Drosophila melanogaster: one gene and its partners. The protein of the gene in region 2 interacts with the protein of the main gene of each other region in a pairwise test. Each region holds a gene or a part of one and is shown on either strand. Other genes may lie near its edges.

What was found.
Region 1: the proteins of HP1D3csd (region 2) and CG9902 interact in a two-hybrid assay, tested with the Drosophila melanogaster proteins (one large-scale study listed by BioGRID).
Region 3: the proteins of HP1D3csd (region 2) and CG34174 interact in a two-hybrid assay, tested with the Drosophila melanogaster proteins (one large-scale study listed by BioGRID).

The regions. Positions count from the first base shown.
Region 1 is NC_004354.4:16,537,834-16,551,111, reverse strand, and holds CG9902 (uncharacterized protein), read left to right. Parts: upstream 1-3,591; 5' UTR 3,592-3,677; coding exon 3,678-3,764; intron 3,765-3,831; coding exon 3,832-4,258; intron 4,259-4,314; coding exon 4,315-4,565; intron 4,566-4,632; coding exon 4,633-5,226; intron 5,227-5,287; coding exon 5,288-6,101; intron 6,102-6,188; coding exon 6,189-7,429; 3' UTR 7,430-8,988; downstream 8,989-13,278. Other genes in the region: Arp2 (Actin-related protein 2), read left to right, coding at 647-862, 926-1,135, 1,206-1,634, 1,700-1,870; CG9903 (uncharacterized protein), read left to right, coding at 10,331-11,359, 11,432-11,767.
Region 2 is NC_004354.4:19,188,642-19,197,272, forward strand, and holds HP1D3csd (heterochromatin protein 1D3 chromoshadow domain), read left to right. Parts: upstream 1-1,572; 5' UTR 1,573-1,634; coding exon 1,635-2,174; 3' UTR 2,175-2,388; downstream 2,389-8,631. Other genes in the region: Mec2, read left to right, coding at 393-906, 999-1,164, 1,244-1,447; CG7914 (uncharacterized protein), read right to left, coding at 3,860-4,807; CG14194 (uncharacterized protein), read left to right, coding at 5,191-5,228, 5,307-5,377, 5,783-6,357, 6,418-6,810.
Region 3 is NT_033779.5:2,209,798-2,218,455, forward strand, and holds CG34174 (uncharacterized protein), read left to right. Parts: upstream 1-4,468; 5' UTR 4,469-4,514; coding exon 4,515-4,587; intron 4,588-4,640; coding exon 4,641-5,087; intron 5,088-5,174; exon of another isoform or gene 5,175-5,216; coding exon 5,217-5,350; 3' UTR 5,351-5,370; downstream 5,371-8,658. Other genes in the region: CG15385 (uncharacterized protein), read right to left, coding at 452-1,072, 1,128-1,713, 1,780-1,920, 1,976-2,294, 2,482-2,578; Uch (ubiquitin carboxy-terminal hydrolase), read right to left, coding at 3,173-3,536, 3,618-3,760, 3,819-3,959, 4,099-4,134; daed (daedalus), read right to left, coding at 5,534-5,662, 5,718-6,428; CG15386 (uncharacterized protein), read right to left, coding at 6,778-7,011; CG42371 (uncharacterized protein), read right to left, coding at 7,029-7,162, 7,216-7,345; mio (missing oocyte), read left to right, coding at 7,630-7,747, 7,801-7,974, 8,033-8,284, 8,377-8,658.

The DNA of each region.
Region 1 (13,278 bases), 2.6 Mb from region 2:
AAAAAAAAAAATTAAAAAAAAAAACAAATCTATTAATTCTCATATCGGATAAATCTGAGGCGTGTTTAAAACCGAATTCCAATCGAATCTGTTCAATTTAACGACAAATTTACGTAAATATAATTTTTGTTATTTAAGTTTTACTCCTATGTTTTCATACCATTTGTTTCCTAGCTTACACCCTTTGGTTTTTTTTGTACATATCTTAAGGCAACCAAATTCAGTTGCTTCTCGTTTTAATTGTGATTTGCTGATTTGAAATTGTTATGTGTTCTCGTCTGCATGATGTCCTGTGTCTGCTTAGCCCTATTTTAATCCCCCGTTTGTTTTGCACGTCCCTGTGTTTGCCAGTGTTCCGGAAAGGCAAGTCCTTTTCCGCAACTACTCACACTCACTGCTGCCTCTTGTTAATCGTTGATTGTTTAGACGAGTTTAGTTGCATTCTTGTAGTGTGCTCGCTGTTATTGTGCCTAACACCTGTGTATGTCTCCCACACTAATGACTAACCATCCCAGCCTCTAAGCAAATACCCAACCAATCAACCATCCAACCAACCAAACAGTCCAAACCAATCCGAATCCCAATGGCTATCCATTGACCAAGCCACGGACACTAACGCTGCGTCCTCTGACGAACGAATTTACAGGATCTGATGGTCGGCGATGAGGCCTCACAGCTGCGATCCCTGCTGGAGGTCTCCTATCCGATGGAGAACGGTGTGGTGCGCAACTGGGACGACATGTGCCACGTGTGGGACTACACGTTCGGTCCCAAAAAGATGGACATCGATCCGACGAACACAAAAATCCTGCTAACCGAGCCGCCCATGAATCCCACAAAGAATCGCGAGAAGATGATTGAGGTGAGGTCATACCATATTTTAAAATCCCACTTCAAACTAACATTGTTGTGTTTGTGTTCACAGGTGATGTTCGAGAAATATGGCTTCGATTCGGCGTACATTGCCATCCAGGCCGTGCTGACGCTATATGCCCAGGGTCTGATCTCTGGCGTGGTGATCGATTCGGGCGATGGTGTAACGCATATATGTCCCGTCTACGAGGAGTTTGCCCTGCCCCATCTGACGCGACGATTGGACATTGCCGGTCGGGATATCACTCGCTATTTGATTAAGGTTGCTTTGCCTTACAATTACATATAGCCAAACTGTGACTTATACTTTCGCATCTATCTATGATCATTAGTTACTGTTACTACGTGGCTACGCTTTCAATCATTCCGCCGACTTCGAAACGGTTCGCATAATGAAGGAGAAGCTCTGCTACATTGGCTACGACATCGAGATGGAGCAGCGTTTGGCCCTGGAGACGACGGTGCTGGTGGAATCGTACACGCTACCCGACGGTCGTGTTATCAAGGTCGGTGGCGAGAGATTTGAGGCGCCAGAGGCTCTGTTCCAGCCGCATTTGATCAACGTCGAGGGACCGGGCATTGCGGAACTGGCCTTCAACACCATCCAGGCGGCAGACATCGACATACGGCCCGAACTCTACAAGCACATAGTTCTGTCCGGCGGCTCCACCATGTATCCGGGTCTTCCCAGTCGGCTGGAGCGTGAGATCAAACAGCTGTACCTGGAGCGGGTACTCAAGAACGATACGGAAAAGCTGGCGGTAAGTTGTCAAGTAAAGCTAATCAATGCACATCGTGTTTAACAAATTGAACGATTACATTGCAGAAATTCAAAATACGCATTGAGGATCCACCGCGACGCAAGGATATGGTCTTTATCGGCGGAGCTGTTCTGGCGGAGGTGACAAAGGATCGCGACGGCTTCTGGATGTCCAAGCAGGAGTATCAGGAACAGGGTCTCAAAGTATTGCAAAAGCTGCAAAAGATCAGTCACTAGAGGCGGATGGATGCGAAATCAGTGTGTGTGTGTGTGCGGACCGCAAGAAATAGGATAAAAAAGTGATAGATTTCTTTTCTCTATTTTCTATAGGTTTAAACCTTTCAGATTTACGTGATATATCCGTCTATATATGTTTTTTTTTTTGTGTGTGCCTGTGCGAGTGGGCGTGTCTGTTGAGCAGGATTGGTCCACTTGCCCTTAGATTATCTATAATCGCAGACATGTCGTCACTGGTCGTTATCCCCGTACAATATAATGTAATATTTCTTTGAGCGCGAAAACTTTAATTCGATAGTCGCCTAAATTGTGTAACCCTGCATTAGTGTGTTTAATTGTTTATAATTACGTCTAAAATTCAAACCCAAAAGCCCTTTTCTTTAATGAATACGCATATATAACTATATATATATACATATATAAATTCAAAGCACCTCGAGTGCGGCGATATTTTTGTAAACGCAAAATGTTTCATTTCCAGCGAGTATTTCACATTAAGTATTAACTAGGCCAAGTCTGCTAGTAGCAGCTACTAAAATCGTGTGTGTGTTAAGACAGAGACAGAGACAGAGGAAATATAACGAGGAAGTTGCATAGCACAGAAGGAGAAAGCGCGAGTTCGGTCGTTAACTAAATACACTGATTGATTCGATCCCGTCTCGCCTCCCGACACTCGACCTTAAAGTAAGCATTTCTGGATTGTCTCCAACTAGATAAAGATGAAGTTACCTACCCATAAAGATACAGATAATCGAAGTCACAAGATTACGCATTTACGTTGCCCCATAATCGAAAGTACCATCAGTCGAAGTGTTAAATTTGATTTAATTTCCTTACCTGCCTTTTCTAGTTAGTTGCAATTTGATGATTGTTGGGGTCGCAACTATCGGCATATGATGAATAGTATATACATATACATATGTGTGATCCATATACATATATCCGTATATGTAAAATGAATGTGGAATGCCAATTATGTAAGTGAATGCAATAAACGTAATTATGTATGATGTGTACTGTATACTGTAGTCTAAAACTAAATCGCATACGACTTTTTTATGGTTTTTTTTTTGCCAAATTAAAAACAAAACAAAAATGACAACAAGAGAGCATGCTATAGTCGAATTCCCCGACTATCAGATACCCGAAAAGAGTTGTTTGGCAAATGGATAGAAATTTAAGAGACTAATAAAAATATGAAAAAATTCAAAACTTTTTTTTAAAAGTGAGGGCATGCCCGTTTTGGGCGGTTTGTGGGCGCGGCAACATGGGTCAACAAACAGTTCTTGAGATCTCGACTTTCATGCGGACGGACACGTCCAGATTGACTCGGCTATTGGTCCTGATCAAGAATATATATACTTTTATATGGTCGGAAACGCTATTGATCGTGATCAAGAATATATATACTTTTATGTGGTCGGAAACGCTTCCTTCTACTTGTTACATATATATGTAATTACCAACGAATCTCGTATACCCTTCTGGTCTATAGTAAGTGTTTTGTATTCTTGTTTCTTTCAAATAAATTTTTAAATTACTTTTGCCTGCATAATAAAATTTCAGTTGGCAACAATGGCCTTAGCGAATGCACCTTCCACATTTAGCAAATACGCCTAGCCTTACAGTTTAGCGAGTATATGAACCTCGTGTAGACAGCGTTGCCCCTTTCGATTAACATCGATTTACAGTAATCGGGTTCAGCTGTTGTTCGTTGCAACTTTCAAGCTAAATTAAAATAAATCGAAACCGGCAAAAAAAAGGAAATCGACTTGACATAGCATTGCCATGAATTAAGTGCTGCAAAATGGATATAATATTTTCTCAGGATGTGCACGATGAACAAAAGTTTCTGGATTGTGCGAGGAAACTAGAGTACGACGAGTTTTCGGCGGTAAGGACTTGCTTTGTACATAAATCCTTATGCACACGTTTTCATTGCTTAAATCTTGGTTTTATAGAAAATGTTTGTATTCTGCAATAAGCACAGCGCTTTGGATGTGTTTGAGCTAATGGGCGATGACCGGTTGTCGCAGTTACTCTACGGATGGGAGGTGTGCCACCTGCCTACCAGGGATTCCGAGTCGCTAAAGGACCCAGCGCTGCGTCACATGGTCAGGGTTTTGGTCTACCACTCGCTGCTGATGTGGTTTAGCCAAGAGTGGAAGACCTGCTCCGAAGGCCTCAAGCAGCTTTTGCTCTACACCCTCACCAAAGCAATGCCGGCATTCCATCAGATTGGTGAACTGGCCAATATCAACTGGTCGTACGTTCTGCAGTTCCAGACGAAGCCCTGGAGCCTGCCCTACCTGCATCAGCTATTTCTTAACCTGGAGCTGAATAAACAACACGGCATCGAACACAAAGTTCAAGCGGCATCAGGAGAAGGTAAGCCATTACTAATTTTCGTCAAGGATTCATCTAATCATTGCCTTATTTCTTAGATGTTGCTTTCCTCATGCAGGAAGGGGTATCTCTGGCCCTGCTGCGACTAATCCAGCTCTTTAACGCCGGCAACTTTGAGGCTGTAAAACAGCTGGCGCTTCGGATGCTAGCTGCTTGGCTGAAAATCCACGAAAATGCACCATTTGTGTCCTTTAAAGGGGATGAAAACACAATTACACTAATCGGTCATGTATGCCTCTTGGCCGCTTTTGTTAGGGATGATAATCAAGGCTTTGTGATTGATAATTTGGTAAGGAAAACATTCATCATGTAACTAACATAACAAAACTAAATGTCGTCATAAAACCACCTCGTAGATGTACAACATAGGGTTCTATGTCCAGATCATGGAGGAATTTTCGAGCTCACATGATATTAACTTTACGCCAGCTCGGCTTATTGCCCGCGTTTGCGTCCGTCTTCGACTCGGAAAGAATGCGTTTTTTGAGAAAATTGCATTTAGGAAATTCAATCTATGTATGGTCACTTCATTTGCCGTCATACTAGATGCCTACTCCAGCTATGTGCTGGGAAATTTATTGATGGATCTTCAGTCGCTTAACGAGCACGATTTCCTGGAGCACCTGCCACAGTTCAAAAAGCTAATGGATCGCTATGTAGAGGAGCGCGAGAGCAGCGAGCGCTTTCTTCTAAACGAGCTCAAGAAGATGGAACAACAGCGAAACAGCTGCATTGAACCGCATCTAGTAAACCTAATTCTCAACTACAAGCAGCAGATATGCAAGGGAAATCGAGCCAGCAACATAAGCAACTACAAGAACAGTGATGACGACGAAAAGATTCAGCCTGAGGTGGGCGAAGAACAAGATAGACAAGTAGATCCGGTTTTTCAAAATGTACCAAACAATGAGGAAGTTTTGAGCTTTGTGTACAAATTGCTGGCAGAGCGGGTAAGTGATGAGAACTAACAAAAGCGAAAACTTTACTAAGCACCGCGCTTTTTTAATTTAGAATTTTTCAGGCTGGAGATTTGCTAAGATTGCTCTGCTGCTGAAAATTATTGGGCAACAAATAAATGCATTAGAAATGTGGAGATATCATCCCGGGTTAACCGTTGATTTTATGCTCGATTTGGAGCAAAAGATGTCTGCAAACTATGCTGACCTAGCCAAATTGTTCTCTGACCATGGATTTATGGAGGCAGAATTCTGGCTGACTGCTTTCTACCTCCACCCCACATCATCAAATTATAACGAAGTAAAGCGCTGTTCGTGGATCATGAAAAATCGACAGGAGGAGGGCGGGCTCCCTGCTCCAGCGATTGGCAACGTCAAGTACGAACTGCTGAGCTCCACCATCGATGTGCACCAGATTATGACCATAACAAACCATGAAGATCCAGTGTCCGACTACGATCCAATAAACGAGTCGCTGAAGGCGTTGCGTCTACCCAGCAACATGACCAAGGATCTTCTGACCGTGGTCTTCCAACCGCGACATAAACAATACTCATGGGCTCTCGATTGGCAAACGCTAGACGAGCGTTGCAGTGCCCTACTCAAAAGCCAGGACCTGAAGAGAAAATTTGTGTCTCTTAACATGGCCGAATCATGCGACGACTTGAAGTATCTCCAGATCGACTATGCCAAGTACAGGGATCGACCACAGTTGGACTATGGCACCATAGAAGAGGGCTACGAAAATGAGACTAATCTCTCGAATGCAGCTGGAAAGGCTGAATCAACACCAGCAGTGCATGATAAAGCAGAGAAAGCCAAGGAGCTGAAAATGCGGCGACACGCAAAACGCAAATGTTGGTATGAAGGTTAGCAACGAAATCTTTTTTCTTTGAGCAACTTTCATATAAGATTAGATTCAGTCAAACTAATGAATTGAATTTTAAATCCCACAGTTTCGGAAGACGAGGAAGAGGCTGCCTCAAGTGATTCGGAGCCCAGCTACACAGGAAATGGCCGCCGAACACAGATTAGAGCCGCAGCCATTGCATCCAAAGCTAATGGTCGCCGGACTGGGATTAGAGCCGCAGCCATTGCAGCCAATATCAAATTGTCTGAAATGTCCTTTCCAGAGACATCGAATAGGCGCTTTTCTACACAGCCCGTCGTCAAGGAACAGCCAAAAATCGCCGTCCAGCCTAAAAAACAAAAAACAGTATTGTTTTCGAAAGAAGAGGATGAGGTTTCCTCAAGTGATTCGGAGCCCTGTTACACAGGAAATGGCCGCCGGACTCAGATGAGAGCCGCAGCCATTGCAGCCAAGGCCAAATTGTCTGAAATCTCCTCTCCAGAGACATCGAATAAGCACTTTTCTACACGGTCCATCGTCAACGAGCAGCCAAGAATCGCAGTCCAGTCTCGAAAACAAAAAGCAGTAATGTTTTCGAAAGACGGGGATGAGACTTCCTCAAGCGATTCGGAGCACTGCTACACCAGAAATGGCCACCTGAATCGGATTAGAGCCGCAGCCATTGCAGCCAAAGCCAATTTGCCTGAATTGGATCGAAAAGTGAGCGGTGGGCGACGATCGATCTTTCCAGAGGCATCGGGTAATCACTTTGTTACACAGCCCGTCGTCGCGGAGCAGCCAAAAATCGCAGTTCAGCCGCAAAATCAACAAAAGCGTACAATTGCCGAGCTGATGAAGTCACGACCCATGTTTACCAACGAAACGAAAGGATTTAAGCCGATCGCCGACATATGGAGTTTCAGCAAGGAAGAGCTAGAGAATGTGGTTAGCGGGCCCAACGACATGATAGAGTGCAGCTCGATTATAGCCAAAATGAAGTTATTGAAGGACCTCAAAATGGCGAAATCTGCAAAAGCAGCCGGACAGCCATGTTCACAGCTCGTTCGCACAGGATCAGAAACTGAAAGCGTGAATTCCGAAACTTCCACGATGGCTACACACGAATTTAACGAGAAGGGGACCACTGTAGGTTCCCCCGGTGAAGGTAAAGAGCAAAAAACACCTTCGCCGACCGCAAACTCCGAATTAAGCACTGAAACAGAAGTGTTGAAGCCCACCGATGAGACTGAAGCGCATATGATCCATGACGCCCTAAAAACTACAAACGTGCCACAGAAGACTCTGGACTTACAGTTCTTGTCCAAGAAGCACATAAGAACTGGATAACAGACCCAGGAGTCCCCAGGAGATGTCATAGAAACTAGTGATCTCAAACAGGTCCCCCTAAATAGCCTGTTCAAAGTAGAGGGACTGGATGCAAGACAGGCGACAGGAAAGCCAAAAAAAAAGGAACAAACGGAACAGGATCTGCCAAATACTAGAAAACACAAAGATAAGCTTCACATGCAACGCCATTTTTTTTTTTTTTGTTATTTCTTTACTTACATATATACCATAACTACGTAACAATTTATTATACAGCCTCGATGTTAGTAGAGATGTGAAACCGGATAAGGTACTGCCGCAAAGCATTGCTTCGCATTAGGGGCACCAAAGATTTGGAACCTCACGATCTTGGTGCTTTCCGGAAAAGCAAACTGTAGAGCCATGTGAGACTCCGGACATGAACCCGAACTTTCTGGATCTCGATGTCGATTCGAGGACAAGCACCCGATTGCTGAAGTAGCTACCTACGGCGTGCAGCAAGTAACCTGCTACCTAAAAACCAAGTGACCGTGGAGATCGCGTCCAGCGTCGACAATTCTTTCCGGAATCCGTACTGGTTTGTAGAAAGTCCCCATGCAGCCGATATTGCTGTGTTGAGCCTCGCCGCGATCACCTTCTCGAAGGCAGATGGGTCTTTACGAGAAGGGTTCGGCAGGGTGCTTGCCTTGGTTGCCTTCTATGGGATCCGATCGGGTCCTGATTTCTTTCTGGTTTTGAGGCTTCTCGCAGCCGCCAGAATCTTGGGCTACGTGACCGGCCGCAAGTGGTCAGCTTGACACGTCTCCGCTTATCTGCCAAGTGGTAATGGTCTCCTCCAACTTCGCTGCCATTTTATCCGCTGCTGCGTTCGCCCAGTCTGCCTCGTCGATTGTCAGCTAGTGAAGAGAGCCGTCTAACTCCTTCAGTCTCATGGTGTCCTGTCGGTAGGCCGTATGAGGCTGCTTCCTGGCTGTCGAGTGCTCTTGTGCCGATTTCGACCTGGATCTCAACCTCTGATCACCTCTACCTTCCCGCATATGGCTGCTATGCTTGTTCGGTCTAAAACCCACTTGTTACTGGCCTTAGCCTTGTACGGCTCGCAGAGGAGAGCCACCTCTGTCTTTAGATCGCGATCGGTCTAGGTAAGCCACCCAGCATCCAAAGATTCAAATTATGTTTATGGCGAGCACCTCGACATCCGGAGGGGCATTGTTTGCTACCTTTATGCTTCGTGCTCTTCTTGCCTTCAACTTGCCCCCTTATCCATGCAGTTCCGTGTTAGAAGCAGAAACTTTCTTGATCATTAAAAGGACCATAAACACAACAAACATATTAAAAGAGTTTAAAAAGCCCAACGCAAAGTATCGAAGTGCAATTAAAGAAGCTATCCAAAAATGAAAACTGTGATATCCTAAATTCTCCAACATTCCTCTAGATTATAAAGTTAGCTTAGTCTTTCCTAAATTAAAGTCACAAAAACTGCTACAAGACTACAACTTGACTAACAAGAAGATTGCTCTCTCTCCAAAGGGCCACCTCTCTATAATATCATTGAACTTTTCCCGAGCCTTTGACAAAATAGGTATCCGCTTCCTTATACACCAATTAGGTCTCCTTAATTAACCTTTCCTCACCCTTTTGAACAATATAAATCAATGTTGCACTTTCTCAGGTGCGGCTAACTTTCAATAGACAAGTGCAAATAAATACAAATGCAAACCAAGACAAGAGAGAGTGCTTTAGTCGAGTTCCCGACTATCAGATACCTGTTACTCAGCTAGTGGAAATGCGAAAAAGAAATTTCATCATTTTTCTGTGATATGAATAGATTTTAGGTAATTGGGTAATATTAATAGGTGAGTTTTTTCAAAAGTGTGGCCGCTTCAGTTTTGGGCGTTAAAGTGTGTCGTATCAAATCGTTAAAAAATTTACAAGACTAATAAAAATATACAAAAATAACAAAGCATTTTTCAAAACTGTGGCCGTGACAGATGTGGGCGTGGCAACATGGGTCTGGAAGATGCATGCTTAATCTTCAACATTCTTGCTTTTATAGCTCCCAAGATCGAGACGTTCATGCGGCCAGATTGATTCGGCTATTGATCCTGATCAAGAATATATATATATATATATATAATATGGTCGGAAACGCTTCCTTCTGCCTGTTACATAACTTTCAACGGATCTAGTCTACCCTTTTACTCCACGAATAATGGGTATAATAAAAACAGAAACAAACCCAACCAATCTTAAAGCGTTTTATTACCGGGTGACTTCGAAGTTCCCACAGCCAGCCAAGCAATTTATTGCCCCCGATCGAAATGTTATTTTAACAATTCGCCTTCTTTGTGGCCGTAATCAGTAGCAAATTGTTTAGAGCTCATCTAAACAAAGTGCAATATATTGCAATGCGAAATAACAACAAACAAAGGAATTCCCAATATAACTTAGACAAGCAGGTAGCGGATTTGTACAGTCACAGGTTTTAAAAAATAAAACAATTGAAATTTTTGAAAAATGAACTAAATTTGAATTGATAATATTTCAGCATTTTTATAGATTTTATTTATTTTTATTATTTCTGCTCCTTTTCTTCTTTGCTTTAGTTTTTTGTTGACCCATTGTTCGTTCGACTTTCCCATAGATACGCTAAGTTAATATGCTTATCATTGCCCACAACGACGATAAGATGCACTCAATTGAATTAGAAATTCCCACCAAGACCTTTACATTTACAAACCAACCTGATTTATTCATATTATTATTCACACCTCCGGTTCGCACCTGAGCCCGTCCGATAAGAGCAAATCGAACCGTCTGCTCGATGGCCAGATAAAGCCTCTTTGTGATCCACGACCCACTCCAGCACTCGGATTCGTCGGAGTAGTCAGAGTTGTTGGTCAGTTGGTGTAACGACGCAGCATGGGCAATGTGAATAAAAATATCGGACGGCTGCTTGTGGCGGTGGGAGTGCTGATGATTCTGGGATTGCAAGGTGTCCGATCTGAGTATGGCGACCTGGCCGGCAATTGGCTGGTGGATTATGATCGAGACGAGCTGAATTTTTTTGAGGATTCGACTTGGAGCGTGGATTTGCACATATACAATGTGTTACCGAAGGACTCTTCGCTGGATTACTACTTTGTGGTGTACTCCAAGGATGATCGGAGGGCGTCATCGCCACCGCTGGAGATAAAGAAGGAGGATTTCGATCTGTTGGGCAGCTGGCGGGGAGCGCTATATGTGACTGGAGTTCGCTTTGGATACAGTTCACTGGAGGTGGAACTGAAGTCCGGTGCGGTGACGGAGACATATCCAAAACCCCTGCCAATAACAGTGCTCAGAACACAGGTGGTGGACGAACGCATCACCACCTATGTGTCCGCCGCCTTGGCTCTGCTGATGTTTCTCAATCTCGGAACAGTATTGGATATGCAGCGCCTGGCGGGCATCATCTGCCGACCGGTGGGACCTGTGGTGGGTGTGGTCAGTCGATTTGTGCTGATGCCCGCCGTGGGATTCGGACTGGGTCGTGCTCTTTGGCCAGACAGTTGGCCACTCCAGCTGGCCCTGTTCTATACGGCACTTTCGCCCAGTGGCGGACTGGCCAATGTGTGCGCCGTCTTCCTTAAGGGAAATATCAATCTTTCTGTGGCCACCACCACGATCAATAGCCTGCTGGCCCTGGCCTTGCTGCCCATTTGGATATTGGTTCTGGGCCGGATACTCTACGAGGACGATGAGCTAACAGTGCCGTTTGGCCAGCTTTCCGGAGGAGCAGCTGCCCTGGTGGCCTGTCTGGCCATCGGTGTGCTGCTGCGACTCTGCCTTCCGCGGACCACTAGGTTCATCTTTCGCTTCCTGAAGCCACTGTCCGTCGTACTCAGCTTGTGCCTCGTGGGCCTGACGGTGGGTCTCAACTCGTTCGTCTTCTACGAGTTCACCTGGCAGGTGAGTGCCGTTCCCCATTTGATATACAATTCGAAATGGCAACAACTAATTTTGACCTATATGGACCTATAGATTCTTGTAGCTGCCGTATGTCTGCCCCTCGCCGGCTATCTATCCACTTATCTGCTGTCCAAGATCCTTTGCCGATCCTCCACCGACGCACTAACTTTGGCCATCGAGGCCAGCGTGCTGAACATGACCATGCCCATTGTGCTGCTGCAATCCAGTCAGCTGCAGCAGCCGCAACTGGATCTCGTCCTGGTCGTGCCCATTGCCTCCTCGCTGATCTCCCTCGTTCTGGTCGTCCTGTTCTATGGCATTCGACGATGCCTGGGCTGCAATAGGCAGCAGGATGCGGATGCCTTTGATCACAAGAAGCTGTTGGCAGAGCAGGAAGGTGATGTCTAGTTTTTAGATCAAGTAACCATTTCGTTTTTTTTTCCTAGTAAATTAATGTTATAAAATCGTGAATGGTTTTAGAAAGCATTTCTTCATATATTATGTATTTGTGTGTATAGACTTTACAACTTAAGCTTTAGATTACAAATATATTAAACATTGCATATTTGTGCAATTGCATAATTGTGCAATTTTAAAGGTAAAGGATATAGATTGTTTCTACTCGTTAAAAAAAAAAAAAAATCAAAAAGATTGGCATCACTTTCTTCTCTTCTGGGCAGCATTGGCCAATTGTTGAGCGCGGGGAAATCCAATTCGCTCGATTCTAATGTCTTTTTAATTCACGCGTGTGTGTGTGTGTGTGCTTACATGCAAATTTCGTTTTAGGCCAGCTCGTGGCAATAAAATAAAATAGTGTGTCAACGTCGGCCGTTGGTCACTGCGTATGTACGAGGAATTTGGAGCATTGGCCGCTGGAACCCAGGAAGGCGCATGATGTCATCAGTTCGCCGCGATGCAGGGCTGCCAATTACGACACACGAACATGGCGTACATACATATATAGTACACTTAGTACCTCCATATATATATATATATATATATATATATATATATATATTTACATGTATATGCATATATTATATAATATATATTCGTGTAAACACGTGCTTGTGTAGGGAAGAAGATATAAAAATAAGTGCTACCTTTGCCTGCACACGTGTGTGCGTGGTCAACTAACGGTTCACGCGCGGAACGCATTACCCAACCACCCACTCAACTACCAACCCATTCAACCTACCGATCCCGCCCCAAATTGCCCCACCGACCTCGTTAGCCGGCCCTGACAATGTTTTTTTTTTTTCGGTTATAAATACATTTTTCAAAGGTGGTAAATGACATAACGTGCAACATACTTTAACAGGAAGCTAACTAACATTAACTGGGATAAAAAATGATATTGCAAAGACGCGTCATTTATATGGGTTGGTGATATGATGGCCAATATAGTGTTTCCCATTGGGAACATACATACATACATACATACTAAAAGAAATAATCATTTAACTATCATAAACTGAAATTTTGATAAGTTCATTGTTATTAATTCGATGTGGTCTATGTAAGAACTTAATTATTGGACCTAAAAGAATGCCTTATAAATTGGAAGTAACTTTAAGTTTTATTGGGACCTATTGAACAATGTTAATTTAAATATCCCATATTATTTAAGTTCATTTAATATTTTCCTTCTTTTAATCTCAATTTTACCAATTAAGAGTTTTATAAATGTTCCAATGTCCAAAAAAATTACGTATACGCAGTGCGTGCACCCTCGACTTTCTCTTTCTGGAGACGCATTAAAAAAATGCCGGTTCATTCAATTTTAAGACACACTTTGCAGGGATTTCAGTGACTTTATAGATTTCATTAGGCTGGGATGTTCTGGAATGTGCGGGTAGAAATCTAGTAACTGACTCTATACTTCAACCTATCCTCATTTTTATGCCTATCCCCGTTTT
Region 2 (8,631 bases):
CATAATCGTCAATTGCTACAACATTCTAATTGTATTGGCGCATATATATTACACCTGTCTATATTTTTAATCGTAGGAATTTTTATTGGACTCCAAGATAAGCGGGCTGATTGGTGTTTATCCGTGTTTTCTTTTTTTTGATTGTGATGGCTATTGCTTTTCACAGCTTTCTCTTTTTCAAGTTGTTACATAGTCCATCATAGTCCTGTTTTACTTAATAATAAGTTGGTCTCTTCGGAATCCGGACAAAGAAGGTACTTCATCTTGGCCATCGAATTGAAGTGGACTTATCTACGTTTCTCTTGCGGCACAATTATTGTACACATATGCCTGAAATATGGCCATTTTGTAGATGAATATTTCATATTCATATTCCTAACATCCCATTGCAGCGGAGAACGAGCCCAAGGGCTGCATGGAATGGGTGGTCACCCTGTTCTCCGTGCTGATCTTCATCATCACATCGCCCATCGCCATCTTCATATGCTTCAAGGTGGTGGCGGAGTACGAGCGGGCGATCATCTTCCGGCTGGGCAGACTGAGCGGCGGAGCTCGTGGTCCCGGCATGTTCTTCATCCTGCCGTGCATCGATGAGTACCGCAAGGTGGACCTGCGCACGGTTACCTTCAATGTGCCGCAGCAGGAGATGCTGACGAAGGATTCCGTGACGGTCACTGTGGACGCCGTTGTCTACTATCGCATCAGTGATCCCCTTTATGCGGTCATCCAGGTCGAGGACTACAGCATGTCCACTCGCCTCCTGGCGGCCACCACGCTCCGAAATATCGTCGGCACTCGCAACCTGTCCGAACTGCTAACCGAGCGCGAAACCCTGGCCCACAATATGCAGGCCACGTTGGACGAGGCCACCGAGCCGTGGGGCGTCATGGTGGAGCGCGTTGAGATGTAAGTAGCCATTTAGTAGGCATTTGACATCCATCAGATCAGATCAGTATTTCTTAACATCTGTACGTTGTATGCACTTCACCCGCTGACAGCAAGGATGTCTCCCTGCCCGTTTCCATGCAGCGTGCCATGGCCGCCGAAGCGGAGGCAGCTCGTGATGCTCGTGCCAAGGTGATCGCCGCCGAGGGTGAGAAGAAGTCCGCCACAGCGCTCAAGGAGGCATCCGATGTCATTTCCGCCAGTCCATCGGCCTTGCAGGTGGGTGTTGTCCTAGTAAAAGCTGAAATCAATCGTTGAGCACGGATTACCAGCCATTCGAATTTTTCTGTCATCACAGCTGCGCTACTTGCAAACCCTGAGCAGCATCTCCGCCGAGAAGAACTCCACCATTATCTTTCCTCTGCCCATGGAGCTGCTTACTCCGTATCTGGCCAAATATGCCCACTTGATGGGCCCGCCACCGGAACTTAAGCAATCGCCAGAAAAGTCAGATAACATAGTTTTAGACGCACTGGACGCTTGGCCGAAAACCAACCTATGATTTGAATCTAGGGCGTTGCCAGAGTTTGAAAATATTAATGTCTTATTCATTTTTTTTTTTTTTTTAATAAATGCAATTCGCACTAGCTGGCAGCTTCAGCAATCGGAAACTTGCCGCCATTTTTCATTTAACGATTGCACGTGAATTCATTTGGTTTACTTTTGCAAGAGAACTTTATTGCTAAACGATGGCGGACAAAGAAAACAGCCCCAACAACAAGAACACAGGTGGTTTCCCCGCGGAGGAGGAAAAGCAGAAGGAGAACGATCAGCAGAAGGAGAACGATCAGCAGAAGGAGAACGATCAGCAGGAGGAAGTGCAGGAAGAGCCGACAAAGGATGAATCCAAGGAGGCCGGTTCGACGCCGCCTCCAAAGCACATGGGAGTTCACAATTCGGCTCGGGCAGAGCTGGCTCGGCTGCTCGTCGAGTTGTTGGTACAACAGGCAGAACTGGATGCAACCAACGGTGGCAGCGTGTCAGGGAATCTCGATGGCGGCAATTCCAATGAGTCCCAACCGTTGAACGTGCCGCCTACGGATGCGCTCCTGGTCCGCGGCAAAGCAATTGAGAATGTTATGTACAGCTATATGCTTGGTGACACGGTCTACTTCATTGTCACCTGGAAGGGATCCAAGTGGGGGGAAGCCGTGCCTGTTCAGGAGATCAAACATGTGCACCCCAAGCTACTCATTGACTACATTAAGAGCCTGAAGCTACAGGACTGAAAAAACCTCCGAAGCCCGAGGATTTATAATATAACTGGAGCAGATCTCCAAATTGACTTTATCCATTATCATTATCCATCCATGAAGAAAATGTTAAAAGATCTTGAATCAACTCACAGTATTTAAGTTAAATTACTTTATTTTTTTTTTCGTTTTTGTCTTGTAACAATAAGTTTGCTTCAAAATAAAATTATCCTTTTTATTGTTTGTAAGTAATTCAAATTATTTTGTAAAGAATGTTTCGAAATAACGAATTGTTAAGGCACAAACACATTTGTTTCTCAAAATCAAGGTACAGGGTATGTTCAAATTGGTGTTCAGATTATTCCAATCTGAACACCAATTGGGTTGATTCCTAAAATATCATCCACTTGGTATGACTTGAATTAGATTGGATCACTAATAGTCAAATGGAATCATAACCATGTTGTGGACACAGGAGGTCAAATAAAAAGATGACCATAGAGAATGTTTAATGGCAATTGGATTCATAATGTTTCCTTTCGATTCATCCAGTGAATAACCAGACGCTCAATTGTATTAATTACAGCGAAAACCAGTCGGCTTTTTTAAAGACAATTAAATCCCGATCGATACATTTGGTATGAGAATTGCAACTGCAATGCTCAGATTTTAACAAAGTAAATGATTTGCCGACAGCGAAATGGATTGAAGAGCCACCTGGATGGCCAAAACCATATGTTCATTTAGCAGCGATAAGTATAGATGCCCTATAACCAATTAAAAGTAGCAAGTGTGGGCAAAACAGTAGAAGTAGTTGGAGTTACCTGTATTACTGATGATGAAGAAGTGAACTCCTCCTCCTTTATGGAAGTACACATTCCATTTTCGGTACACTCAAATGCTTAATTGGAAGTATAGAAAACATGTAAAAGTTTCAAATGCCAACTAGAGAGAATGCTATAGTCAAGTTCCCCGACTATCAGATACCCTTTACTCAGCTAGTGTGAATGCGAACGCGAAATTTCTGAATTTTTCTGGTATATCGATAGATATTGGGGAATAAAAATTGTTCAAAAGTGTGGGCGTGGCAGTTATGGCCGCTTTAGGGCGTTAGACTGGGTGTGGCAAAAAAAAAATTGTAAATCGATAGAAATTTACACGACTAATAAAATTATTAAAAAATATCCAAAAAAAATTTCAAAAATGTGGGCGCGGCAGGTTTGGGCGGTTTTAGGGCGTTAGAGTGGGCGTGCCAAAGTTTTTTTTAAATCGATAGAAACTTACACGACTTATAAAATAATTTAAAAATATTTCAAAAATGTGGGCGTGGCAGTTTTGGGCGTTCGAGTGGACGTAGCAAAACGTTGTTTGCAAGTCGATAGAAATTAATGAAGACTAATCAAAATGTGAAAAAATATCAACACATTTATTAAAAGTGTGGTCGTGGCAGTTTTGTGCGGTTTGTGGGCGTTAGAGTGGGCGTGATAGCCTTCTAGCATTTATAGTACCTAAGATCTCGACGTTCATACGGACAGACGGACATGGCCAGAACAACTCGGCTATTGATCCAGATCTAGAATATATGTATATCTTCTGTCTGTTACATACTTTTCAACGAATCTAGGGTATAAAAAATATAAAACCCTCGGTATAACCAGTACGATCACAAATTCATTAACAATATTCAAATATTTATAAGCAACTACAGTTTTTCCCGGCATTTACAACATATAAATGTTTGCCGGATCTACGTCCAATGATTGTGTTGCTATTTGGGCGATGTTCTTTTGAAAACTTGAATCTCCAGCCACGATGAGGACACGCTGTCCGGGAATCGCGGGATTGAGGTGGGTGGCCAGTTCGGTGGCATCTAATCGGGACACCTTTGCCGTCTCCTTGTAGCGTAGATTGTCCCGGAGCTGAGGGCACTGCTGGGCACAGTGGCCCGCCTCCTGGCAAGCGGAGGAGTCACACTGCTGATGCGGCAGGTAGAGGCAGCTCCTGTAGTTCCAGAACTGGGCGAACTCGAGCATCTCCTCGCGGAAGTAGACATGCAGCAGGTCGTGAGCGCACACCAAATGCCACAGGCGACTCATATCCTCCTCGTTGTCCAGCACCTGCCGAACCAGCGGCAGAGTGGGTGCAATAGCAACTCCCTGGGCGATAATATAGATGCACTTGGCCGGCTGCGGTTCGTGTACGTATTGCCCGATGGGACCACGGAATTCCAGCAGATCGTCGGGCTGTACGGCTTGCAGGTGCCGAGACATTGGCCCCTCCGGCTGCAGCTTCACCAGGATACGGAACTCTTTGGCCACAAAGTCGCTCCAATAGGGCGAATACGGACGCAGCAGGGAGCCGACGCGCAGCATCACATGGTGGCCGGGCGGGATGTCAAGCACCGTGTCCACCGCTCCATCGCCGTCCCCCTCCTCTGCTGCATGAGCAAAGTGCAGGAGCAGCAACTGTCCATTGGGTCCCAGCGCTTCCCGCCGCAACAGGCGGAACTTCGTGTAGCTCAGGATCACGTTGCGTTTGCCAGCCAGCAGGACGCGTTTGCTTGGCCGTGGCTTGTTGTCGAGGATGCAGTTGGTGCAGCCATTGCCGCAGCAGTCTGAATCCCGCAGCTGGTCCTCGTTTTCCTTCAAATCTTCCAAATAAGATAACATTTTCCTGTGCCTATCGAGGCTATCGATAGCAGGCTAGCGTAGCCGGAAATCTGGCGAATTGTAGCCAGACATCTGGCTAGTCCTTAGTCAAGCCAATCGCCAGAGCAGGCAAGAGTTATCGATATCGAATCTCGGGACAGAAATGCCAGTCAAAAAAGTGTGTAAATAAAACAAAGAACAGAATATCTACAGGGAAAGGGGTGAAAGATCGGCGCCAGGCGTAGAGTACTAACTGCCCCCGCCCCCCCACTCCATCATAACACACAGCCTTGTTCGGGCGAAGATCGCTTCGTGGAGCGGACGCGGTGCGGCGGGTGCCCACGAGCAACTAGTGTCCAGGTACCAAGTGTCCAGTGACATAGCTCTATGGTGTCCTCAGCAACATGAATCTGGAATCTCTGTTCCGCGACTTCAATCCCTGGTGAGAAGCCTCCGACTGCGGACGACCGGATCACATGGGTTCCCAATCTAAAACATAATCGACCATGTTCCCTTTCAGCAAGTTCATCGTCCACTGCAGCCTGTTCATCTTTGTCACGCTCTTCGCCTTGCGCCTCGACAACTACATTGGTGGGTACTTTTCTGTGGCAGTTCTGGAATACACAACGTCACCCAGAATTAAAATAGCACGGGGATGCAAGAAAATACAATCATATAACAATACAAGCATATACGACCCATACACAAATATGTGTACGGTGCACCATCGCTTCTTCTAGAGAATAGTCCAGATTTATTGTATACAAGGGTTAGCAAGCAGATCATGAGATTGGATATAGCAATATCGAAGAAATCGTCTGACCATAGAGGATCATCCAAATTTGGTCACTTAACGAGGATATTAGTTCTCTCGCTATTTTAAATAACTTATCTAAGCTAAATATTTAGATTTTTAATTACTGAACAAGATTTATTGTAGGGCATTAACCTTATAATTGGCCTAGTAGCCTAGTCTAATCGAATGCCTTATCCCAGATTGGCCCTACTGGGCGATTTTCACACCGCTATGGATATGGAAATGCACCGCCATCCTGGGCGCAATCGTAGGAGCCATTGTGTGGTGTCGGTATCCGCATTATCGTCTCGAGGGCGATGCCTACACGCAGTTCAAAGCGATGCTCATCTCACTGGCCCTGCACCTGATCCTGCTGATGTTTGAGCTGCTGGCCTGCGATAAGCTGACCTCGGACCGTCACTTGTGGGTGCTGGTCTTCATTCCGCTGATCTTCGGCTCGGTGGTTAGTGTGGGCGCCTGTGTCTGGGCCGTCAAGCACGATCGCTCCTTCGAGCTGGAGCTCTTCCTGGCGGTCAACGCGCTTCAGTTTGTTTCACTGCCGCTAAAGCTGGATCGCTTTGTCTACTGGAACTGGGACGTAGTGTTTGTGCCCATGTGGATCGTCATATGCCTGAGCCTGGTCAGCGTATTGTATAACATCATCTTCTGTGGCATCATGATGCGTACGCCGGAGGTCTCGCTGCAGCAGAAGAAGGCGGCATTAAACGCAGCGGTGGGCAACATCTGCACGGTGCTCCCACTGCTCTGCTTTCAGGTGAGACCTCATCTAGTCCCTCCAAAAGATTGTGCATCGCTAACCCATCTATTCCGCCAGGTGGTCATCTGCGACAAGCTGGACGGCGAGCTTAAGTTCCCGTACATCGTGGTCTTCTCACCGCTGCTCGTCTCTATTCTGGCGCTAATAGTTCTTAGCTCCTCGGCAAAGGGCGGCAACATGTGGTGGTTCGGCATCCGCAAGTCTTTCAGCCAGTTCCTGTTGTCCGCGATGCCGTTCCTGCAGGAGTACGGCAACATCAGCTATCACCCGGAAACCCACAGCAATGCTGCACAGTCCATGCCGCTGGACGCAGCGTCCTCCTCGACGAGCATGGCGGCCAGCGAGCAGCTGCACGAGTTCCACAAGCACGACAAGAAGAGCAAGAAGGGGGCCAAGAATGACATTCTCAAGCCGGTGGTTCCGTTCGTCAGCATCGATCTGCCGGACTAGATATAGACGGCCAGTACAGCACAGGAGCAGTACAGGAGCAACAGTAAAACAGCAACATTTACAATAAATCGCAAGAACCGCGTAGACTTAAGGACAGCCTCTTTGCACGCGCACAAGGAGACGCCGCACACCTTTGTTCAGGTGTTTATGTTAGGCATTGTTAAGCATACCCATACCCACTTACACACTCACGTCTCCGTCGTAGCTTTTAGACTTGTACTGAATTTTAATTGTAAGACAAACGCTAACACCGCCCACGAACCATGTCCAACCAACCAACCAACCAACCAAGCACATCGCACCCACCATGCTCCCTTCCACGCATCCGCCTGCATATGATAGCACATATAGCACATACATGCATACAGGACCTGACCACCACACGCTTTTGTCCAGACCCGAATCGGACTCCAACTTGACCACAAATTGAACAGCGCCGCATTCGGAATTTTGACTCGTGTGCTAGTATTATATGTAAAACATCTCTCACACCTTGAGAAGCCCACTTATGTGTAATGACCTACTATAAAGTGTAAATAATTAACAGAGTACGTGAAAACGAGAAATATACTTAAGTGCTTCCATCAAAATGAAAAGACGATGATGAAATGGTTCGAAATTCGTGTGAGTTGTATTTATCTTTATTCAATTAGGAAGCTACAAAGTTTACATATGTATTTCATAGTTAAGTTTTGCATTTCATTTTTAATTAATTCTCTTACGTTGTGTCGCCTAAAAAGTTATGCAAAGGTAAAAAGTTGCATTTTAAAAAGTGACCATCCATTTGCCGGACAAAATAATTGAAGATTAGCCGGTGAGCGGTATATATAAAGCGCATATATATATATATATATGAATATATGAATATAGTCTGCAACCGGATCGGATGCGACTGGAAGTACATATTCTTGGGGGTGTGGGAAAGAGAGAGTGAGGCACATAATCGGAAATGGGGAATCGAAATGGAGCGGGACAGAGTTATACATTAGTATAGATATAGTTAAAGTGGGCTAAACGCAGGCCGTGTAAGCATTAACAATAATTCAAATACAATATATATCTGATCGATCGCGAGGTGCAACTGGCAACTTAACTATTGCATAACATATCGCATGAGTGGGCGTGAGCTTGCTTGCATTTGTTAATCTGTATAACATTTTTTTTTTATAGAGTGTCCGTTTGTATTTGGTTTTTTGTGTGAGAATTAACAATTGTTTCATTGGCTTAGCTACATAAATACGTTGCTCGTTTTCGGGAACATACGGGGTTATTACCTAAGACGTCGATCTCCTGCAAATATAATGCACAATCGCAATCATAATTAAGGTTAGCAATAGCACGTACTACTTATCGAATAAAACCTTCCGCCTGAACCTGCTGTGTACATATGGCACAAAGTTGGCCAAGTAGCGATATCAATTTGAACTCTTCTCGATTTACACTAAGTACTCTTGTGTAGAAGAAAAAAAAACAAAAAAAAAACACCTACGCAACTCCTTTGCTGCAAAATATATTGATCCTAATCTGGTTTGCAATTCGGTTACCTATGATGGGCCTCTAGTTTTCACCGGATTGCTCCGTCTTTCGATTTTTATTTCACTATTAAAGTTGGCTAAGAACAATTGTTTACTTGGCTACATTTGCTTATACCACTGACCTTCTGACCCCGTGAGCACCAGAAGCCGCACCTCCACGTCCATTCGGATTATTCAATCCGATCCACGATCAGTGAGGGATTCTGAAACTATGGGCATGAGTTAGCTAGCTATCAACTATCCGGGAAATATCATTTGCCATCACTGCTCGGATGGAATCTGTGGA
Region 3 (8,658 bases), on a different chromosome or scaffold from region 2:
ATATTAAAAAATTGTTATTTTACGGTATTTAATCAAGAACTAAAAATTCGCATCTTCCTAGAGTTCTTTTACTCTTTGCTTTGATATGTTCATAAAAATATGTTATAAATGCTAAAATTTGTGGAAGGGTTTTCCTAAGATTTTTTTTATAATAAACTTCAAAAAGCTGATATGTTTGCGACATCAAGTTTCATTTCCGTATTGCTAGATTTTTAGAAAGAGGTTCTTATAGTCTAACAAGTGCTCCATTGATATGTATCGTTTTCGATTTGTGGATCAACAAGTTGAATGCATTAACTAAATTCCAACTAATTAGATAACATCGCTAATAAGCGGTCGTTTCCAGTTCGGGATAAGACTGGACATAGTGCTCTTCTTTTCATGTGTGGCATCTAAACTACTTATCACAGTTTTATAAAAGGGATCTCCTACTCATCACCTGGGCGGGCTGCTAAAATTCGCCAGTTTTTGGGGGATTCACAGAGCCACAGGCTTCCTTAAAATTGGTGGCATTCAGCGGACTGAAGTAATCTTCGTGCAGGAAGCGAATGATGTTCTCGATGGGACAGAGATCGGCTTTGTTGCCCCTGGAATCCCTGGTGACCCGTAGGCTTTTGCCTCCCTCGCAGAAATCGATCTGCTGCGTGACATCCTTTCCATTGTACACCACCCGGAAGTAGTAATCCGTGTGAGCGTCGCTCCGGTAAACTTCGAATGCTAGTCTGGAGGCATAGGCTATGGTTTGGCCCTGGTTGGTGATGATTCCCAGGGCAGCTGTAAGATACTGCATGGTGCAGTCGTGTCCAGAGTACAGGACAAACTTCGTCCTGTCGCCAGAGATCATCTTCAGCATGTAGCTGACTATGTGACGGATCATTCCGTAGGATCGCAGCAATCCGGATAGCTTGTAGTACGAGTGACCAGCGGAGCGTTGCGATAGTTCGTCCGCAAAGGACATCAGGGTATCCACGTGGCTGGGCTCGACGCAGCCCTCTTGAGCTTCATCCGCCTGCACTGAGGGATTCCCATTTTCCACCTCAGGGGAGTCGGGTTCCACCTGTGTTTGTGCCTCCTGGGGACAAGGTAACATGAAACCTTCAACATTGCAGGAGCTCTTCAATAGTTACCTGCATCAAGTTGGCAGCTGTTTCATCCTGATCTATATTGATCACATCCACCAGTTCCTGATTGGAGTTCTTTCTGAGGGGCTTTGGAGTGGAAAGCGCTTTTTTCCTGCGACATGGCAAGGTGGCGTCATGGCATAGAACTGTCAAAAGGGCATCCACCACCTCGAAGGGATTGCTAATGCCATTCGGCGTGTGCTGCAGTATGGTGCCTCCGATCCACTGCATCACATCCAGGACATCGCCACGTTTCAGGAGCTGCTTATCACCCATGGCCTCCAGACGTTTTCGCAGCAGAGCCGACTGAGGACAGCTGCACTCGCCGAAGCAGAAAGCCATGCTATGCGATTCCCGGACATTCAAAGCCAGCCACTTGTCCGCCGGAAGCAAGGTGAACAGCATGGCCAATGCGGACTGGAAGGTGCGACGATAGCGAGTGGTGAAGACCACCACTTCATCCGAATTAAGAAGCGTGTGGGGCGTCGTTTCCACAGAGGCTCGGTTCGGATTCGGTTTGAGCAGGAGACCCAGTGGATGAGCATAGACCTGGTGCATGATGTCGCCCACGTGTAGCAGCTGCGAGATTCCCCTGGTGAATGAAAAGTCAGGCGTATGATTAATAGCGGCATTGAATGCCGGTAGTGCATTCACTCACTTGTAGGTGAGCTGCCCCAGTGGACAACCACGTTCTGTGGCCGGCAGCAGTGGAAACCCATGGAACGGCCCCACCTTGTTCCAGTACATGTGATTTGATCCCGAAGCGGAGCTGCTCGAGTTATACAGAAAACTGCGATACCTAAAGCAAAACCACGTATCAATGAATAAATATTTCCGGAAATGTGATAGCCCACCTGTTGACCAAGTTATCTGAGCCACCACTCACGCCGCAGTTGATGCCAGCACTGCGAACGTGGGATATGGGTCCCCGATCCCCGTGCCTGATGACCAGGAGCACGCCCTGAAGCTTCCAACCCTCCAAGATGCCGCCATCATCCAAACGCTGCAGCTGAGCCAACGGAGCACAGCGTTCTCTGTACTTGGCGAATCGCTGGGCAGTGGAAGATGGCGAACTATCGCCGCCCAAGGAACTGACGGTGCCAGACGAACTGGGTCCGAAAACTGAGCCACCGCTTGGAGTCGACTCAACATTGCCCATGTAGCGATACATTCCTAAAAAGGATTATCAAAGGCAAGGATTAGCTATTTGCCTATGAATATAACAAAGCACGTCCTATTCGAGTGTTGACAACCATATTAACTAATTGGGTCAACTTAAGAAATCTTTTCTTAGATTTATATTGAGTATATATTGAATGTTTTCCCACGATTGCCATTAATCCGCTACTTTTCCACTTACCCGCTATAAGAAGGAATATCCAGACGCTGAGCAGCACATAGCAGTAGAAGGCTCTGTGTTGGGTGGCCACTCGCATCAGTTCCTTGAGCAGCCTCATCCTGGCCAGAAAGTCCGGCTCTTAACTGCTGCCCGCTAGCTCCACTGCTGCTCCTCGGCATCAACTCGTTGGGCGGCACTCCTGGAGGGTTTCTGTCGATACGATAGCTCTGATATACTCCTATCCAGTGCTTAAATTTCAGGCTAGAGCTCCGCTGCACGGGGATTGCTTTTTTAATGCTAAGTGTAGAAAAAACAAGGTTCAAGCGTTTACGTGGAGCACGACTAATTGGCAGGGCATGCGCAATGGAGGCCACATCGTTATCAGCTGTTGGCACAGAGGTGGTGGACAAAGGGGGAGTTTGAACAGCCAAGCCTATATTTTTATATATGTATATTAATAAGTAAAAGCCGTGTGGTGTTCAGAATAAGCTTAGCATCAAGCTAGAGTGCACTCTTTAATAACAATCATGGTGTTCCCAATACATATGCGGCTTTGGCTCAATGCGGAATAAATATGCGTAAACTATTGACCGGCTGAAAGGCGGGGCTTCGTTCGCCTTTGCAGCCTGGTTTAAAATATGTTGGATATATAAATATATAGTCTGGCAGATCCGGGATCTTGGTGGTTCTCAGTTATGGGATTAGTTCCACCCTATTGTTGTGCCGCGGTCAAGGCCAAAACGGTGAAGCGCACTTCGTTGGGATCGCGAGCCATGAACTCCTTGCAGACCTTGGCCGCATCCTTCACAAAAGTCTCCTCCGAAGTCGGTCCGTGCTTGATCGGGAAGGACTTGCGGCCATCCAGCTCGTACAGAGTACCCTCCTTGTTCACCAGTGCGATGAAGTGGTGGATCACCTTCTCATGATTGGCGGCATTCGTCTGGCCCTCTTGAGCCAAGGCCTCATGATCGGCGGTGAACTTCTCGTCTTTTTCGAGGGCCCGTCCGCGTTCCTCCGGGGACAAGGAAGCTGTCTTCTCCAGGAAGTCCTTCAGTACTCCGCGGTCAATGTCCACTCTGGGGAAAGATTACATTTTGTGATATATAAAGAGATACGATTATTAACGATCTTATATAGAAAAAACGTCACGAACTCACTCTTTGTTGTTGGCCACGCTGTGGATCAGGGCGACGGTTCCACAGGCGTTGTGGGTGAACTGGCGCATGTAGAAGAGATCCTCGGGATGCTGCTCCTCCACCTCCTTAATCCGATCGTGCTCCTCGGCGCGGTGCTTCTCATACTAAAAATGGAACCTGGTTGGCCAGGATAATAAGATAAGAAGGTCAAGCTAAACCTACGGTTTCGCTGCACGGGAAGAGCAAAATGAACGCCTTTACGGGACGCGGAATCCATTCCAAGGTGTCATCTTCCAATCCAATGACGTCAGTTACCGACCAGGCTGGCGACACGCCCAGTTTATGTATGTACTTGGTCAAAACCTGGAAAAGTGGGAATGGGAAGGTCTTAATGGCGTCTTTTAACTTTATTATCCAAATCCGACATTTTGGAACAAAGAAACAATGAATGTGCAAAAACTGGAAGTGCGGTAGGCAAAACCTTTACAGGTAAAGTCATTACCTCGGGATTAGATTCAAGTGGCGTCCAGGTTAACATATTTTTGAATTTGGCTTTAGCAGTGATCTGATTGAAAATTCACAGGAAAATGAAGGATTTCTACACACAATTACCGGCACTTTTGACGAGCTTTACTTTTTTCTGAATGTGGTGTGTGAACATTGATTTGGTCGAAACATATCGATTATAAGCTTTTCAATTGTGTGTATTAAAGCAATTGATTCATGTAATCGATTAAGATTAAATGAAATAAATGTCGAAATGTCCATTCCCCATTTAAATAGCTATAGTTCTATGCTAACATTGAATATATTCACTTATCGATATTAGAAACCATTAGTGTTGATAAACGCGTTGAACGTATTTCCCAAAGAGGAGGTGTGCATACACTAGCTGAAGTAAACAATATTGTTTACAAAATGACCAAAGCGAATAAAACGCCGCAAAAAGCAAGTGAACCGAATATAAATGGTTCCTTCACACCAGTTCGATGTAAGTTGGCTCCAAAGACAAAAAAGGTTATTATTTCTTTGCATCGTTTCCAGATTTGGACAGCCAGCGCCTGCAATCGCCCACGAGTCACGATGCGAATTTAGCCACCTGCAAAACCAGATTGGAAACAATAGTCAAACAACTCCAGGATAACTACGCTAAATGGCAGCTGGCCCATCAGCGGGGCACCTCTATTTGCTATACTATCGAAGCCAAGAAGACCAAGTGTCTGGAGAAAAGCCAGGATGAAGGCAGCTCCCTTTACCCAGATGATCTCCTACTTCCCTGCAACAAGTTGGCCATCATAGCCTCTATTTTCGGGGATATCGCAAATAATACAAAGGAGATACTAAGACAACTGAGAGGCATATTAAAATTACCGGGATCTGCAGCGGATACGATATTCTACAGGTCCTGGAAGTTGCAGCAATTCGTGGTTTTCGCGAAGGAGCTATCCGAAAGATATGAGAAGGAGGCTCTGGTCAAAATGGAAGTTGCCGGTAGGAATAATAAAGCTCCTCTTTGTCGAAAGCAGCCCCTTTAATACGTTTGAAAATTCAAAGAAGCACAGATTAATTTCTCAAATTCGATTTACCATCTTAAATATAATCATGTTACTTTTCTTATAGGTAACATTGCTCACTCGACTGAAAGAAGCCAGCTCATTGCGCACACAACTTTATGGGAATTTCCCGAGCACGTGGACTCCTATGTCCATCTGGGGTTTCTTCTCCTTGCCGAAGAAGTCAGTTTAAGGCAATAAATTAAACAATTTTTCAACTTAATACAACATATGGTTTCTATCAAATGTTCATGTTGGGCAGTAAAACTTCATTACAGCTTTAGATTAAGCGAATGCTTAAAGAAGTAATAAGTAAATTCTATAAACTTAGGTCCTATGAGAAAATCGGAATGTAACTATTAAATGCATCGTTGTGCGTTTTTTTTAAGTCTGAACGGAGATCCGCTCCAGTCGGGGAGCGCTGCGGAACTTGGTCCACCACCAGAACCAGGCGCACGAAAATCCCACAGCCAAGGTGGTGTAATACAAAATAGTAGCCAGGCTCCACTTCTTCTGCAATGCAAATTTGTATAAAGGAAAATAATTTCTTATTGCTTGCTATATTCACCTTCTTGTGACTCTCGTTGCCCTGCACTTTCTTCTGGCTCCTTGCGTTCTGGGCATTAGCTTCGATTTTCGCGAGATCCTTGGCAATCTCTTCGGTGATCTGATTCACGCTTTTTAGAGTTTCCTGGGCAAAGCAGCTGGCATATCGTTTGTCGCCCACCACGACGTCCTCGGGAGTGGAGACCTGCAGCTTGTAGTTGGTGGCCGCTAAAGAAGCGCGCAGGGACATAAAGTGGTTGCCAGCATTGCCCAGAATCTGATTGTTGTAGTTTTCGGCTTCAGGATGGTTGCAAATGTATTCGTAACTGGGATTCTGGTTGGGAATCTTTTCGAACATCTCCAGGAGCTGTTGCCGTTGCTTTCGACACTTGAACCCGAAGAGTTCCAAATCTTCGTCGGTGAGAGAGGCCAAATCCAGATAGTTAATGTTCTCGGCAATAAGTTTGTCCACACAGGTGCTGGCGTAGTCCGTTTCCACGCTGGTAGAGCACAGTAGACCGTTGAGGATCTCCCTCTCCCGGCGTGTGTCCCTGTGAGCCTTTTGGCGAACCCAAGGACGTCGATTGTAGCCCAGGAAAGCACTGTCCAATTCCTTCTGCTCGGTGTGCGAGTGAAAGTTCTTTGTGGCCTCAAACTGAATGGTCGGCGGAACCTTGGCCATCGCCACCAAGGGGACATCCCCCGCGGACATTGTGTGCGTCTTCGTTGCCATAAACTCTGTCAATAATGGCAATTAAATTACCATTAAAATGCAATTGCGCTTAGATTAGATTCGCTGTTAAGAATCGGACGTTTACGAGCACTGCGAGTAGGGGTGGTCAAGATTCCTAACAGATTATGTTAAAAGTAACAGAAGTAGTAAGGGCTCTGTAAACATTTAAAACGTGAATATTAACAATTTAGTAATTTTATTTCCTTTTTCCTATTTCGCATTCTTGTACGAATCGAATTTTCTTCTAATGAATCACCCTACCCAACCAATTAAGATTAAATGCTTAACATTTGTATTTAAAAAGTATAACAAATTGATAAATTGATGACGATTAAGCTTCCTAACTATCCTATTTCTCGGACGATGACCTGTAGATTGGGGCACTGGTGGTGGACGCCTCCTGGAGCTTCTTCATAAACAGAGCCTTTCGCTGCTCATCCGCACTCAGTTTGGTACTTGAAACGGAGGCTTTGATGCGCTCTAACTTGTCGACGTTCGGCTCGGTTAACACCATTAGGCCGTACCCCATTCCTCCGAAGCCAATCAGCCACAAAACGGACTTAAAGTAGGGATTACTAAGCATTTTGGAAGCGGTCTCCTCTAGTCGCTTTTCTTCAAAGCACTCCAATAACTCGCATCCGCCTGTCGCACTGTGCTGTCTCCGACGATTTCACCAATTTTGTAGTAATAGTCCAAAACGAAGGGATAGTTCTCGTGAATATGCTGACGAAACTCTAGGAGCGGATTGTTATTAACGATCAAAATAATTATATAAATATCCTCCCACCTCGATTCGTGTTCATGCGATAATAAACGCCGTAGCTGGCTGCGAAGCAGACTGCCTCGAGGACAAACAGTGTTTTGGCACTTCCTTTGATGAATTTCCAAATTGCAGGTTTTGGTGTTTTGCGCAGCATTTTAAGTGGGAGTTGTAAATATTAAACACGTTTGCTTTCTTACAAAAAAAAAAGGAAAACAAAATCACCTACCAGCTTATCGATAAAACGAATTATCGAACTGGGCCAGTGCTGGCTAACATGCGGCCAACAGCTGGTCGACCGGCTAGTGTGTGTGCGCCTCTTCTTCTTGCCATGTAGTGCAGTGTTTATCTCACGTTTTTGTTTTTGCAAACTGATAACGCGACGCAATTTAGTCTGTAGTGAAAATTGTTTTTTTTTACATCGATGGAAAATCGGCCACGATGAGCGGCAATACACACGGACTCAGCTGGTTTCCACATTTTCCCGACAAATTCGTATCCTGGGGCCAGGAAATCCATTTATACGAAGTGCGCCGCAAAGATGATCACAGCCAAAAAAGTAGGGTTTTCCCCAAGGGATTATGCCACTTTACTTAACCGCCCCCCTTGCAGGTCGCCTGCCTTATATATCCGTGAACTACCTCGCCAACGAGTCGCGCTATCAATATGCCCGCTGCGTGGCCGCCTCCTACCACAGTGACCAGCCCATAATTGCAGTGGGTCTGGCGGATGGCAAAGTCGGGATTTGCAACTTCCGGGACACCTACGACAGCAGCTGGGAGTACAGTGGGTGGACGACAACGCCGATTCTTAGCTGCATCTAATAGTTCTTCATTTCTCGTAGCACCGCGTCAGCAGCGCATGTGCACCTGCCTCGCCTGGAACGAGCTGGATGCCAATATCCTGGCCATTGGACACGATCGCCATCGAAATGACACCTGCATCACCATCTGGGACATTGAGCGTGGAGTTCCCAAGGAGACGGCCAACTTCTTCGGCGTCGGCGAGTCGGCCAACTCCATTTGCTGGGATCGAAATCATCGCACGGTCATTGCGGGAATGAGCCAGAAGATGATAAAGCTGTTCGATCTGAGGCGTGAGTACACATAATGCGACTGGTTATATTTCAACTACGTAGTATTACTTTATTGCCCTTTCACTGATGAAATCTTTAAATCCCTTTCGCAGAGAGTAACGCCACCTGTCAAAGCATTCAAACAAAGACAGTGCAGGGACTTTCCGTATCCCCCAATGGCAACTATCTCTGCAGCTATGTGGACTCGGTGATCACTCTGTGGGATCCGCGAAATATCAAGAGTCCCCTCAGGCAGATTCAGTCCTCGAAAAACCATTTGCAGATCGCTTGGTGTCCGACCAGGACAAGCCTGCTTTCCTCGCTGCAACGCGATTCCTCCTACATCACTCTCTACGACATCCGGAGTGTGGACACGGACAATTCCGGAGAGATCT